Linked DNA regions of Struthio camelus. The protein of the gene in region 1 purifies or fractionates together with the protein of each later gene. This does not show direct contact. Links are inferred from orthologs where the notes say so. Each region holds a gene or a part of one and is shown on either strand. Other genes may lie near its edges.

Region 1 (6,821 bases):
CCTTGAAGTGTTCAGGATAACAAACATGGAGTAAAATACTTTAAAGCTCATCATGCAAACACATTAGCTAGTCATATTTACATATCATTTGAAAACTGAGATTTTGACTCTGCTGGCAGAAAAGCTGATGGAAAAGTATACAGATATATTCATTTTTCCTCTCCTTCCTGTGACTACAAAATATTTGTCAAACTGCAAAGGTGGGAAATCTATGTCCAGATTTAATCTCAGAAGCATTTTTATAAACAAGCCTTCAGGTACTTCATTCAAGATACTAAATGTCTACAACGCAAGATAATTCTCCCCAAACTTTTGGAAGTTTTGGTGCTGTAATTTCGTAGAGTACTCTAAAGAAGCATTAACAGTAAAAAAAGTTATGTGGAATTAGCTCATCTTACCAGTTAGGGTCTCATCGTTAGCTTTTTTCTAAAGCATTGCCATGACAGTGCTTTTTTTAAATTTATTCTCATGGAGTTAAACCTGAAGCGAAATTGCACTTGATCTAAATCCAAATTGCACCAATATGTAATAAAATAAGGAATTAAACAGATTCAAATAAGAAAGAAGTTAACAAAGTAGTGTGCTTGCATCAAATTTAAGAGGCTGCCAGTAAAGTATTGCTGCATCATCATTTATCTATTATGTTTTAAGCTAACACACTGACACTTAAAACTTTTCTCTTCATTACTAATATTATTGTCTTTTATTTTACTGTTCCTCTGATGTAACAGGCTTTCTAAAAGTCCTATTGCATTCCGACATATACAGAAGATTGATGCATCTCCATTTTATATATGCAGATTCAAAAAGTTACCTATAAAGTGTGTCTTTGCTTTCAAAATAGTTCCACTTGAAAGAATTAGTCATGCTCACCTACAAGTTTTAGCCTACAAGTCCTTGAAACAGCAACCATTTAAACTGTCTTTAATAAAGGCTAATACAATAACACTACCTACAGAAAAGAATCCCTACCATATGAAAAGAAGTAGTAGGACTGTACACTTTTACTCCGGAAGAAACCAAAACCATTGTTGACTCAGTCTTTAATGCACTAGCGACCATACACGTGACTGATCACATTAAGTACTGCAAAAACAATCTTTTATCACTGATGTGCTTGCATTTAGGAAAACAGTATTTCATATTTATATTTCAGATGCAACATTTGTGTTTCATTTACAGTAAAACTCAATAGACTTTCATTAAAAAGTATGAAGTTAAAGATTACTATTCATTTAATTATCACTGAACTAACACCAATTAAATCACAATGATGCTAGTTAACCACACTCATTCATTCTTCTGAAGAAAAAAGAAGTTAAAACTCAGATCTAGCAGCCAAACTGCCTCTTTTCTAGTTCTATTACTGTTTCATTATGTAGATGTAAATAAAGCCATCATTACGAGCCACTTCATCCATATGATAGGGGCAGACACTGCCTGTGTTATGGGATTGCTTGCAGCTTGTGGAAGAAGCGGGGTAGACATGTATAGCTCTAGCTGTACTAACGGTGCCGCCATGAGATGGAATGAAAAGACCACTGACTCCCACCAAATTCACCCCAAGTTTTGGCAAGTAATTACCCCGGTAACCATCAAGCCAAGACTAACAAAGATTCAATCACTTCATGAGAGCATAGGTAAGACCCTAAAAACAGGAAGGTATTAGAAAAGTTTAAGCAGAACTTCAGTAAGACATTTTGAGGACTTGACAGGAGTCACTTTGGTTACAAAGCAAGTAAATATATGCTGAGACTTCTCTTCTCGACAGGCACCACAGAAGTTTGTGAACCACGCAGTTAGTATCCTGACAGAGCTCTGTGTAAGATCCACCAGCACAAGTCTTTAGCAGGTGGACACAAAGCTAAAAGGGGGGGCCACTTTCTCCTCCACAGGCTCCATGTAAGAGACATCACCATGTATTAGAATAACACACAAGGACATGGAAAAAAACCACATAAAGGAAAAAGCGTTCACAAACATTTGCTAGACAGCGGTCCAACAGCAAACCTTTTGAGACTACAGACAGCTGACTTGAATGGGCAGTAGTTCACAAAGGGGATGACATATCTGATAGAGAACACAGCTTGGAAACTTCCGTTCTCTTTATTTCATTAATAAACGAACTAAAAAAAGAAAAGGTAAATCAACAGGCAGTATTAAACCCAGAACACATGGGGGGGGGGGGGGGGGGGGAGAAAACAGCTTTTACACCCACAGAAATAAGATTAAAGCTACCAACCTATGTCCTGAACTCAACAACTTATTTTCGCAAGCTTCCCTAAAACTTGTTTAAAAAGACACACACGTACCCCTATCCACCTCGCTATGGTCTGCTTACAGTTGCTGGCTACATCTCATGACTCATCAGTTTTCACTGCTCCTTGAAAAAATCCAGCCTGCTCCCCATATCTTATAATTACGTATCTTTCAATAGTCTGAGCTGTGAAACGTGAAAACAGAAACCAGGGATATTATGGCAGGAGAGTGGAGGAAAGAAAGAAAATATCGAAGAGCAATTAACACCCCTGCCTTCGCTTACACAAGGGACGGAGCCGCCCCCCTCCCCAGGGCGGAGCGCAAGGGGAGACCGGCCGGGCGTCAGGAAGCTGGGGAAGGGGGATGAAACCGCTCCTGCTGCTCGGGTGGCCCCGGCGACCCCGGCGCCAGGACGGGCCCGGGCCCCCGCTGGCTGCGCTGCGCTGCGCTGCGCTCCGGCCGGCACCGCCCCGCCGGCGGCCCCACGCGGGCCCGCCCGCCTCGCCCCTCCGCCAGCAACGGCCCCGGCCCCATCGCTCACCAGCCCGTCGATCTGCACTTGCTTGACGGCCGAGTCCCCCGTGGCGGCGGCCTTGCCTTTGCCTTTGGAGGCGCCGAAGCCGCTGCCGGCTGCCCCGGAGCCCTCCTTGCGAGACGCCATCTTTCCCCCCGCACCGGCCGGAAAGAGAAAAACGAAACACCGGAAGCGCCCAGGGAAAAGCGTCCGGGCGGAAACGCGCGGGCGGGGGCCAGGAAGCCGGGGGAGGAGGCGGTGGCGGCAGAGCGCATGCGCGCTGCGGCGCCGGGGGGCGGCGGCGGCGGAGCGGGGAGGTGGCGGCGGCTCGGCCGGGGAGGGGTGGCGGCCGCCGGCGCGGGGCGGTGCGCGGCCTCGGTGTTGCGCCGGGGCTCCCAGGGACGCGAGGGGGATCGGCTTGTGAGGGAAGATTTACAGCTAATAAACCAGCTTGAAATAAGGGGAGGAGAAGTTCCCAAGGAGGCAGGTGTGAAAGCTGAGGACGGGAGCCGGCGGGAACAGGGGGGTTGGGCGCAGTGCGGGTGTGTGCCTTGAGGCCTGCGCTGGGAGGGGGTGCGAGAGGGAAAGGCTAAACAGAAACAAAACCCCCTGAACCATGTCTCATGTTGTTCTCGAGAAAGGGTTTAAAGTGTTCTATGAAAAATCAACTGCTGGTTTTGCTTTGCTTCAAAAAAGATAGTATTCCAATCCCTACATCGTCTGCTGAAGAATGAAATTGTTTTTGAAAGGTGGGTAGATGTATCAAACGCCCCAGAGTCCTCCAGACCCTCTGCCAGGTATGTGTCTAAAAATTCACTCCAAGCTTTTCTAACAAGGTAGTTGACACTAATTTCTAACTGCGAGAGGGAGACGTTTGCCAATGCCAGTACCAAGATGTATCTGCATCTTCCCAGTGGGGACAGACCCAGCATGTTCCTGTTAGACATCCCTAATATCAGGATTGGAAGAAAATCAAGCAAAGAATCCAGTACATTGCTTGCACCCACCAGGCAAATCGTATCCTGAACACCACTGACTCCACTGACTGCATCTGCATCAGCTATAACAAGAGACCTGGATACTTTGCTTAGAAATGATAGATATCTAAAGTTAAGTAAGATGAATCCCAGTTAGATTTCCCATTGGGGAAAAAAAACTGTTAAGTGGAGATTGAGCTTAAAGTTCAGATTTGGAGTACCGTTGACGTCAAACGTGCCCAGTGCCCCAAGGAGAACGAGGTGTGCGTGCGCAGTGGCGTTAAGGCGTTGTTCTTCAAAATACGATCTGTAGAGAGGCTGATGCAATAACAACAAAGAGTTTCAAGGTAGTATACTGTGGCCAATGAACTCAGCTATCGTAAATTTGAGTCATACCCTTAGCAAGCTTCCATGACTGAATGCTGCACTCCCACTGGCACTGCCTTTTGAAGTTTTTCTAGAGAGTAAAGTTTCTTGATTTAATATCAGTATTTAACATTACTGTTATATGCACATGCATATCCAGATTTAATTTGCAAATATAATCAAATAGCTTTAATTAAAGAAAAATAAGGCTAGGAAACAGTATTATGGTAATACAGTGGTTTTCAACTCCAGTCCTGGAGATCTGTGGGCTACTTCAAAGATACTGGTGAACGGTACTTAAAAAGGAAAAACAGCCCTTCTATCACAATGCTTCACTACTGGCAAATTCTTAAGGATGTCAAAATTGAAGAGAGATGAAAAACTCTGGGTTAACTCAAATGTGATTCATTATTCCTGCCTATCGGTTCTTGAACAAAAAGTCTGTGTAATTAAAAAAAAAAAAGGGAGAGGGCAAGTAGCTGCAGCACAGAACATCAGCATGTTCAAAGAAGTTGCTGTGGGCACCCAAAATAGCCCTATTATAAAAACTGGCATAAGGTTCACATTACTTAATGCACTGCCAAAATAATTCAGTCAATTTGGTTAATTATGATTAACATGAAAAATGAGACACAAATATCAACTTTATGTAACTCATGAGATCACTGGAAGTGAAGAGAAATTTCAGCACTGAAAATACTGAATACTTGAAGAGAAGAACACAAAAAGGATGTCAAACTGGAAAATGTTAGTCACATTGCCTAAGCTACTCAGGAAAACCACAGAACAGAAGACTTCCATCCCAAAATAGTTTAGAGAATTCAAGCCATGCACAAACTCTATTAATCATTTTTAAATGATACTGTAAGTCAAAAGACGGAACAAAAAGAAACCTCCTTCTTCCTCACTCCTGCTTAAATAAAAACTTTGATATAACTCAGATGCATCATTTCTCTCTGCAGCGTTGCTGCAGCATATCAGTGCTATGAGCAGAACTAATGTTGCTAAATGGAAATTATCTGATCAAGCGTTCAAAGATGTAATCCCTTCCAAACTGTCAGACTAACTTTACCTTAAGGGCTAAACCAACTTGAATTTCTTCTGCATAGGCTGCAGGCTAAGAGTGTGCACATACATAGTTACCAGAGATCAGCTAACCTGCAACAACTTGTTACCACTTGGTAAATGGGTTGTGTCTGAATTCTGTGATTTTTCTCCCTGCCCTCAACAATTCCAAATATTTCTAAGCATAATGAATACCTTAATTTCATTATCACAAAGTATACAGGAGAGGAAAGAATCACCTAGGAAACACATATAGCAGTCTGTGCTTGTATTGAAGCACAACAACACCCCAAATACAAAGCTGCATTAATAACTACAATTGCCTATAACAACCTTCATTACCTACAAAAAGAAATTATGTCCATTAAAGCAGCCTCCGAAACTCAGTGGCAACAGATTCTCTGAACATAGAGTTAAAATTGCCTTGTAGTATCTTGCACACTTACAGAAGGGTCAAGTTAGAAAAGCTTAGTTTTCTGGAACAGATGAGGTATTCAGGCTCAAGAAAAACAAGCACTTGGCACATCTCCTTATGAGGGTAATACTGACCTTCTCCCATATGCGATTACATATAACATACCTACTCGGCCTTAGCAGGCAAGACAAAAAATAAAGTAAAAATCTCACATCTTTTCTGTGTAAAGAAAGGCTCGTATTTGAGAGCTGTAGTGAATATAAAGCTGTACTTAATCCCTACATTCAAATACAAAAATTATTCCACATAATTCTTCACATGCTAAACGACACAGGCTCTTTACTCCTTTTGAAATCCCTTTTTGACTCACAGGATGCCTTTCAATATTAGCCCCTCACTTATACACCCTTCTCATATCCCATAGGCAGACTGAAAACCTTTATGACAAGAAAGTCCCTCTGTGTCAATGGCAGCACCAGTTCCAGAAACCATGACCAAAGCGGGGCAGACAAGGTGTCTTAAACCATTTCATTCTATCCTCTGTTTACAAACAAAAGAGGTCAGAGGGAAGATGTAATAGGAACCCTCAGGTCTCTGCAGTAGTCACAATTTTTGCCAAGTACATTCATTAGTCCTGCCATTAACTACAGCTACATGAAACTCAGTAACAGCGATGAGCAGGCAATTTCAAATACTTACCGCAGCTTCAGGAATAAGAGTTGCGTATAAACCCTGTATAATCCAGGGTTTTCAGACATTTGTACTTTGCTGACCTTAGCACTTCTTTCTTTTCTAAAGGAAATAAAATATCCCCTGGTGTATCATCTCCATGCTGACCAAGGTTCTCACTGATAAATAAGGTAGCACTCTGCACTCACTTTGTTCAGGTATAAATCACTTCACCAGATGCAAGTCACTGACGGATCAGGCCCTTTGTATACTTACCTCTACAGGATCTACCATGTTCTGTTTCACTGAGAAATATAATCCTCTAAGGCGTCAGATATTCATCCAGAGCTTCTTTACCACTTCCCGCATATTAGTTTAATGTGAAAATTGAAGATCAGGTTATATAATTGCATTGGCATTTTGTGCCAAAGAGTTTTTAAGCACTAGTATTTGTCATGAGGCTAACTGTGATTTTAGAAGTTATTGGTGCCTATACTGAGGCCCATTCCACATTTTTTTCTAATTTCCATCAAAAGAATCAAAGTGAAGAAATTGG
Region 2 (7,186 bases), on another chromosome or scaffold:
GGGGGCCCACGGCCCCCCCCAGGGGCTGGCACTGCCACCCTGGCTGCCAGCACCCACGTGCCAGGGGAGCCCAGGCACCCTCCGGGCTCTCCCCTCGGGCCACGGCCCTGACAAACCCCAGCCAGATCCCAGGCGGGACTTGGCACCCGGTGCCGCTCTCCCTGCCCCAGTGCAAAGGCTGCCTGGGCAGGAAGGAGCAGAGGTGCCCCCCGCTCCGGGAGGTGCCCCCTTCACCCCCACGGCGGTTCGGAGCACCGGCCACGGCCAGGGCAAGCTCGCTCCCCGGCCGGACCACCCGAAGGAGCAGCCCGTCGTGCCTGCCTGTAACCTGACGCCCGGCCGCGTCAGCGCTCGCAGCCCTGCCGGCCCCCCAGCGCCGCAGGCAGGCTGCGGCTGGGGCGCGGGGCACCCCCCGGCCCCCCCGCAGGGCAGCGCCGGGCACATCCCACCAACGCTACTGCCCCGGCGCCTGCCAGCACCCTCAGGCCATGGGGTGCCCCATCCCCTGCACCCCCAGGGCCACGTCCCCAGCACGGGGGGGGGGGGGGGGGGGGACACAGAGCCTGCACGGCCTTTGGGGGACCCCAGACACCAACACCGCCAGCCTCAAGCCCAGGCAGGGATCAGTCCCGCTCCGATTTCAGGCCTCAGAGAAGGCTGCACCCTAGCGCTCGCCCTGTCCCCTGGCTCCCGGGGGCGCTGAGTGCCAGGCATGGGCCCCAGGAACCCGCGCTGGCACCCCACCGCCCAGCGCGCCCGCCGCGCGTGCCCAGACGCCCCTGCCCTGCCCTGGGAAGCGGCAGCGTGGGCCATTTTAAAAAGACAGCTTGGTGCTGGCACAAGTTACTTGGAAAAGGAAAGGGGAGGGGGGTTAAAAAAAACACGGAAGGGAAGGGAGCGGGGAACTCCTGGGGACAGCCACGCTTCCAGGACACTGCCATGCTCCCAAAACCGCACCGCTCTCCCCGCCACAAGTCTCGGCGCAGACAGGCGGCAAACCCAGCTTCCCCGGCCCCCCAGCACAGGCACAACCGGCAGAGAACTAGATACTCACCCCCCCGCGGGAAAAACCTGGGCCGACTGAGCGGGCCTGCAGAGACCTTTCATCCGACTGACTTGGAGAGAAAGGAGGAAAGAGAGAAGGGGGGAGAGAGAGAGAGGGAGAAAAGGGAAAGAGGGTGGGAGGGGGAGAGAAAAGTCAGCCTGCAAACCTGCCGGCGCTGGGAGAGGACAGCCCCGCGGCGCAGACATGGGGGACGCCGGGGCCCGGCCGGGAGCACGAGGCCGCCGGGGCTGGGTTGGGCTGGGCTGGGATGGCCGGGCGTGCTGCAGTGCAGAGCCGCCGAGCCCCGGAGCACCCGAAACCCCACCCACAGGCACGCCGGGCGCCAGGCCCCGCGCCCCGAGCCACCCTGGCGCGCGTGCCGCCAGACCCCCCCGCCGGCCCCCTCCTCGCACCGGGGAAACCTCCCCGGCCGGACGTGCACAAATAAAACATCCGGGAAGTCCCGGTGTGGCGGTGGCCCGTCAACGGGACGGATCTCCGCCGGGAGGGGAAGGGGAGCAGCCGCGGGTGGCGGGGGGTCGCAACGGGAGGGAGCTGCTGGCTCGGGCCGCCGTGCCCGCCGAGCGCTGCGAGACGCCCCTTTTCGTGGCCTCGGAGCGGCCGGAGCCCCCGGCGGGGCAGGAGGGGCCTGCTCCACCCACCGCCCCGCCAGGCGTCCCCGGGGCTGGCGGCCGACCGACCCGACCCGCCGGCCCGAGACCGTCGGGGCCGCGAGCGAGCGAGGCCGGGGCAGGCGCCGCCTGGGGCGTTTGGGGACGGGAACGGGGCGAAGCCCCCGCGCCGCCCCAGGCAGCCCCCGCGGACGCCCCGCCAGGCAGCGGCCTCTCCGGGGCCACGGGCCGGAGCCCGGCCCAAAGGGGCCGAGACCGCACTCCGGTGCCAGCTCCGACCGGGCCGCTCCGGAGGCGCCGCCCGTCGGTCGGTCCGTCCGCGGGCTCCCCTCCGGCAGGCCGGGGCAGGGGGCGGTTCGCCCGCCCGCCCGCGGTTTGACGACAGTGCCCGGGGCAGGACGGGCCGCGGCGGCCGGCGGCTGACGCAGCCCCCGGACCGGCCCCGCCGGCGCCTCCGGGGAGCCGCGATGCCGCCTCGCCGGCGGGGCCGCCCGACCCCGCTGCCGCCCCGCCGGGCCGGGCCGGGCGGCACCATCCCCGCGGGAGGGCGGCGAGGCCGCCGTGACACCGGCCCCGGGAGGCCCCGCGGCGCGGGCAGGGCCCCGGCCGGGCCGCCGGCAGCCGCGCCGCTGGGGGCCGGCCCCGGCACCGGGGCGCGGCTGGGGGGGAAAGAGGCCTCGGCGGCGGCCCCGCCGGCAGCGGGCCCGGCGGCCCCCGGAGCGGCGCGGCGGCCGGGCCCGGTGCCGCATCCGGCCGGGCCCGCTCCCCCCCGCGGCGGCGGCGGCCTCTGCCAAGGACACGTGTCACTGCCGGCCGCCGCCATGGCGCGCCGGGAAGCACCGGCAGCGCGGGCCGACGGGGCGGCGGCGGGGCCCGGCGAGCGCGCACCACGTGGGGCGGCGGCAGCGGGGCCTAAGCGGGGCGCGGCGGCGGGAGCACGTGCGCAGGCGGCGGCGGGCGGCGGCGGGGCCGGCACGTGGGCGCGGAGCGGCGGCGCCCGGGCGGGCCGGGCCGGGCCGGGCCGGGGGCGCCGGGTGGGGGAGGGGCGGGGGCCGGCGGCGGGGCGGCGCCCACGTGGTGGCGGCGGCGGCGGCGGGGCCCGGCGGCGCGCGGAGCGGCGCGGCGCGGCGGGGCCCGGCGGAGGCGGCCGGTGCCGGTGCCCCCCCGCCTCCCCCCCCCCGGCGCGGCGCCCCGCCCCCCGCCCGGTTACCTTCAGTCTCCTTCAGCGCGCGCGGCCCGACGCAGCCGCAGCGCAGCGCAGCACGACCATTTCCGGAGCCGCGCCGCGCGCAGGGGCGGGGCCACGCGCCGCCGCCGCGGGGGGAGGGGCGGGAGGCGGCCGCCGCTGCCGCCGCCTGAAGCCTGTCTGGGCGCCGCCCCGCCGCACGTGACGCCGGCGCGCCGGGCCCGCTCCCCCCCGCCCCCTCGCCCCGTCACGTGACGGGGCGGGGCCGGGTACGCGCCCCGCCCTCGCCGCCGCGGCGGGGCCCGCGTGGGACCGCCCCTTCCCGCCGTAAACCACGCCCGCCGCCGTGGCCACGCCCGCCGCCCCGGTCCCCCGTGCGGCAGCACGTGGCGGCGCCGCCGCGGCACCCGGCACCCACGCGGCACTGCACCCGGCCCCCCCGCGGGACACCCCATCCGGCACCGACCCGGCACCCACGCGGCCCCCCTTGGACACCACGCCCGGCACCGACCCGGCACCGACCCGGCACCGACCGGCCTCCGCGGGACATCCCACCCTGCACCCACGCGGCCCCCCGTAGGACACCCCACCGGGCACCGCACCCGTTATCGCACGCCTCCGCGGGACATCCCATCCGGCCCCTGCGGGACACCGCTCCCGGCACCCACGCGGCACCGCACCCAGCCTCCGCAGGACACCCCACCGGGCACCCATGCGGCACCCACCCAGTCCCCGTGGGACACCATACCTGGCACCCACCCGTCATCATCCTGGCCCCCTGTGGGACACCGCACCCAGCACCGACTCGGCCCCTTACAGGACACCCCACTCGGCACCCACCGGGATCCAGCACCCACCCAGCATCAACCCAGCATTCCCCCGGCACGCTGTGGGACACAGCACCCACCCAACACTTCTCCGGTTGCAGCACCCCGTGGGACATGGCACCCAGCACCCCTCCTGTGCCCTCCGTTCCCCTGTTCCCATCCTGCAGCCACCCTGCACCCCTCAGGACAGGACGTCCTGTCTGCACCCTGCACCCATCCTGCATCCAGAAACAGCGTCCTGCACTCACCCTGCACCCCCTGGAGAGAGCACCCAGACTGCATCCATCCCTGGGACGCTGCAGCCAGCACCAACCCTGCACCCCGCAGGCTAGGGCCCAGCACCCTGCACGTACCCACCAACCAGCTTTCCAGCCAACCTCCCCCCGTGCCCACCCTGCACCCACCTACCACCCCGGCGCTGCACAGCACTGCACCCACCACCCTACACCCACCCTCGTGCCTGGGACATCGCACCCAGCACTCCTGCAGCTGGCACCCATCCTGCACCCACCACCCTAACCCTCTGGGGTGGGACACAGCACCCCCACACCCTGCACCTGGGACATGGGACACAATACCCTGTGCCCACCCCTGGGGCCCAGTGCCAGCACCCAACCCTGCACCCCTCAGGCCTCACACGAAGCCCAGCACACCATACCCAACCTCTCTGCACCCTCGCGCCGGCCCCACAGGATCCCAGGCCCCAGCAGGGTGCCGAGCACCCTCCAGGCCTGGCCTCACTCCTGCTGCCCTGCGTGGGGCACAGCAGCAGGTCTGCGGGTGACGAGGCCCCCACCCCTCCTCGGGGAGGGTGGCGGGTGCCCCCGGGGTTGGGACCTGAGCCAAGGGAGGACAGAAGGATGCTGACACGCAGCAGCACAAAGCCAGGCCCTGGCTAGAGATGTCCCCAGGATCCAGCCACACTGTCCCCAGAGGCTGACGCAGGGCTGGGACGCTGGGGCAGTGCCAGGCACCTGCAGGGGACAGCCAGCAGGTCCCCTTTGTCCCCTTGAGCACCAGCAGTCCCAGGCACCCAGGCCATAGCCCCCACTCTGCGAAGAGGCCCAGCTGAGCTGCGGGACCCCCAGGCATCGGGGAAGCGCGCAGCTCGCCAGGCAGCAGGACAGGGCACCCTGCTTGGTGTGGCAGGGTGGTGGTACCAGTATTTTGAGAAACAGCTTAGGGTTTTCCTCTCTTTCTTAAGAAACTCCCCCCACCCCATCTCCTTCAGCTTGCCCCAAGAGTTATTTGAACCCTGATCCTGGTCCCACGAGGGCTCCAAAGGAATTGCACTCCTACGAGCTGCACCGAAAGCCGGCAACAGCCCAGCGCACCCCAGGGAGCAGTTGAGCCCCACTATCAGCCAGCAGAGACTCCACATGACGAGAGGCCCAGCTCAGGACAGGCAGTGCCAGACACCCACCTCACCACGGGACAGGGAGTCTGTGCTGACGCAGGCGCGGGGGGGAAGGGAAGTTGCACAACGCCGGCGTGGGTGCCACGCAGGCACGCCCTGCCGCACCGGCCACACGCGCCCAGGGCACCGTGCAGGCACGGACACACACAGGGCAAGGAGAAACAGGAGCCGGAACAAGGCCACGGCCTAACAAGGCCGAGACCCACACCAGTCTGGGAACTTGCACGCCTGCAGCCCCCCGTGGGGGCAGGGCGAGCTCACAGGGGCTCTCTGCCTTCACCTCCTGCCTCTTGGGGCCTGCACTGCACCCAGCCTCTGAGAGCATCAGCTACCCAAGGGCCCAGCAGAACCCGGGGAGCTGCCCATCACTGTCCATCCTGGCAGAAGCAGCAGAGAAAGGGTAACTTTAAGGGGGTCCGAACCTGCTCCAGCGCCACAGTGTCCCTCTAAGGGAGACTTGGCTAGGGCTCCGTGGAAAGGAGCCTATTCTTCCCTGCTCCGGCTGGGGGAAGATCTTGGCCTGCATCAGCTCAGGGCTCCAGGCTTAACATGGACATGGCCTCACTGCAGTGTACCCAGTCTGGCCAGGGCAGAGGGGATGAGAGCCCATCCTGTGCCTCCTGTGCAGGGACAGCATGGCAGCACCAGAGTCTCCGCATAGTTTATTTCCTCAAATCACAGTAACAAACAAATCACCTTCTCCCCCCCCCCCACCCCAACCACCTGCCCCGCGTCCTGTCCCCCACCCTATCCCCATTCCCCGGTAGCTCAAACATCGTAGTTGGGGTTCTTGCGTAGGATGACGAATCCCTCCAGGATGGGTGTCACGGGCACGTGCTCCTCTGTGGCCAGCTCTGCCCGCTCTCCATGTGCCAGCAGCACTGGTGTTGTGTGAGTCTGGAAGCCAGTAATGGTTTTTGGCTTTCCTGCCTGGCCCACCACATCCACAGCCTGCAAGAGAGGAGCGAGATGAAGGCCAAGAACACACAGGGACCCCCAAGCACCCTGTCCCAGGCTCTGGCTGCCCCCTTACCTGTCCTACCCGAACCGATACAGGTAGAGGTCGCAGCTCCTCGTCAAAGGTGACCAGCATGCGGGGCTGCATGGCAGCAACGAGCCCATAGAGAACGTAGTGGGACTTGCCCAGGATAACTGGAAGGAAGACGTAAGGGTCAGGGCAGAGCCCATCCCACGGAGCAGAGGGGTGGCAGGAAGGGGGGCGGCCCCACAGTACTCACTGTTGCGCACGTCCAGGAAGGACACAAGGACAGTCAGCAGCCCAGCCACAGCCACCTGGCTCATGAGCTGGCGATCGCTGTGGTAGGGGCACAGGGTGAGCGTCCCCTTGCCCAGGTGGGTCAGCCCCTGATGGGGTAGAGAAAGCATGAGAGAGAGCTGTTAGGCAGCGCCTGGGACCCCCCAGACCTGCCAGCCAAGGGGGTGACAGCCCAGGGACAGCACTCCCCTCCAACGCACAGGACAGCCACCCCAACCTCCCCTTCCCCTCCACAAGCAGCAAGTGTGGGATTTTCACCTGGGCCAGCCGCACCATGAAGAGGTTGTTGGGGTCTTTGGCGTGGTACTGGGCAAGCTGCCGCAGCATTGCTGCTAGCCGGGCATTGTTGGTACCTGGAGAAGAGGAGGTGCAGATAGAGATCAGGGAACACAGCCACCACGGCCCTAGTTTTCCGCTTTCCCCTCCTCAGGGTGCAGGGCATCCAGCCACAAACCCTGGGACAGGCAAACACGCAGCTTCCAGCAAGCCCAGTTCCCTCCACCCGAAAGGCCTCGTCCAGCCCTCTGATCAGCAAAGTACCTGGGCAGCATTCCCAGCTAGTGCTGACAGACTAGCGCGAGAGCCAGAGGAATGGTGGCTGCCCTTCCCCCTGCTGTGAGCACACAGACACCCCAAGCAGGGGTCGCAGGCAAGCTTCCCCCCAGGCTTACCACTGCCCACCATGCCCATGGCAAAGATGGAGTTGTAGGAGACCTCAGGGTCAGCATCGTGGGAGAACTTGCTGAGGGTGTCGAGGATGTTGAGCCGGGGGTTGGAGACCGAGATAAGCGCCAGGGCCAGGG

Evidence for each region. The genes of interacting proteins can lie anywhere in the genome.
Region 2: the proteins of EIF3H (region 1) and EIF4G1 purify together in Homo sapiens (affinity purification with mass spectrometry; 4 studies listed by BioGRID). This does not show direct contact. The link is inferred for Struthio camelus from reciprocal best matches to the Homo sapiens genes EIF3H and EIF4G1.

The regions. Positions count from the first base shown.
Region 1 is NC_090943.1:157,389,305-157,396,125, forward strand, and holds the start of EIF3H (eukaryotic translation initiation factor 3 subunit H), read right to left. Parts: upstream 3,006-6,821; 5' UTR 2,921-3,005; coding exon 2,801-2,920; intron 1-2,800.
Region 2 is NC_090950.1:22,673,512-22,680,697, reverse strand, and holds the start of EIF4G1 (eukaryotic translation initiation factor 4 gamma 1), read right to left. Parts: upstream 3,014-7,186; 5' UTR 2,888-3,013; intron 1,116-2,887; exon of another isoform or gene 1,055-1,115; intron 1-1,054. Other genes in the region: PSMD2 (26S proteasome non-ATPase regulatory subunit 2), read right to left, coding at 5,876-6,058, 6,141-6,259, 6,346-6,472, 6,642-6,736, 7,055-7,186.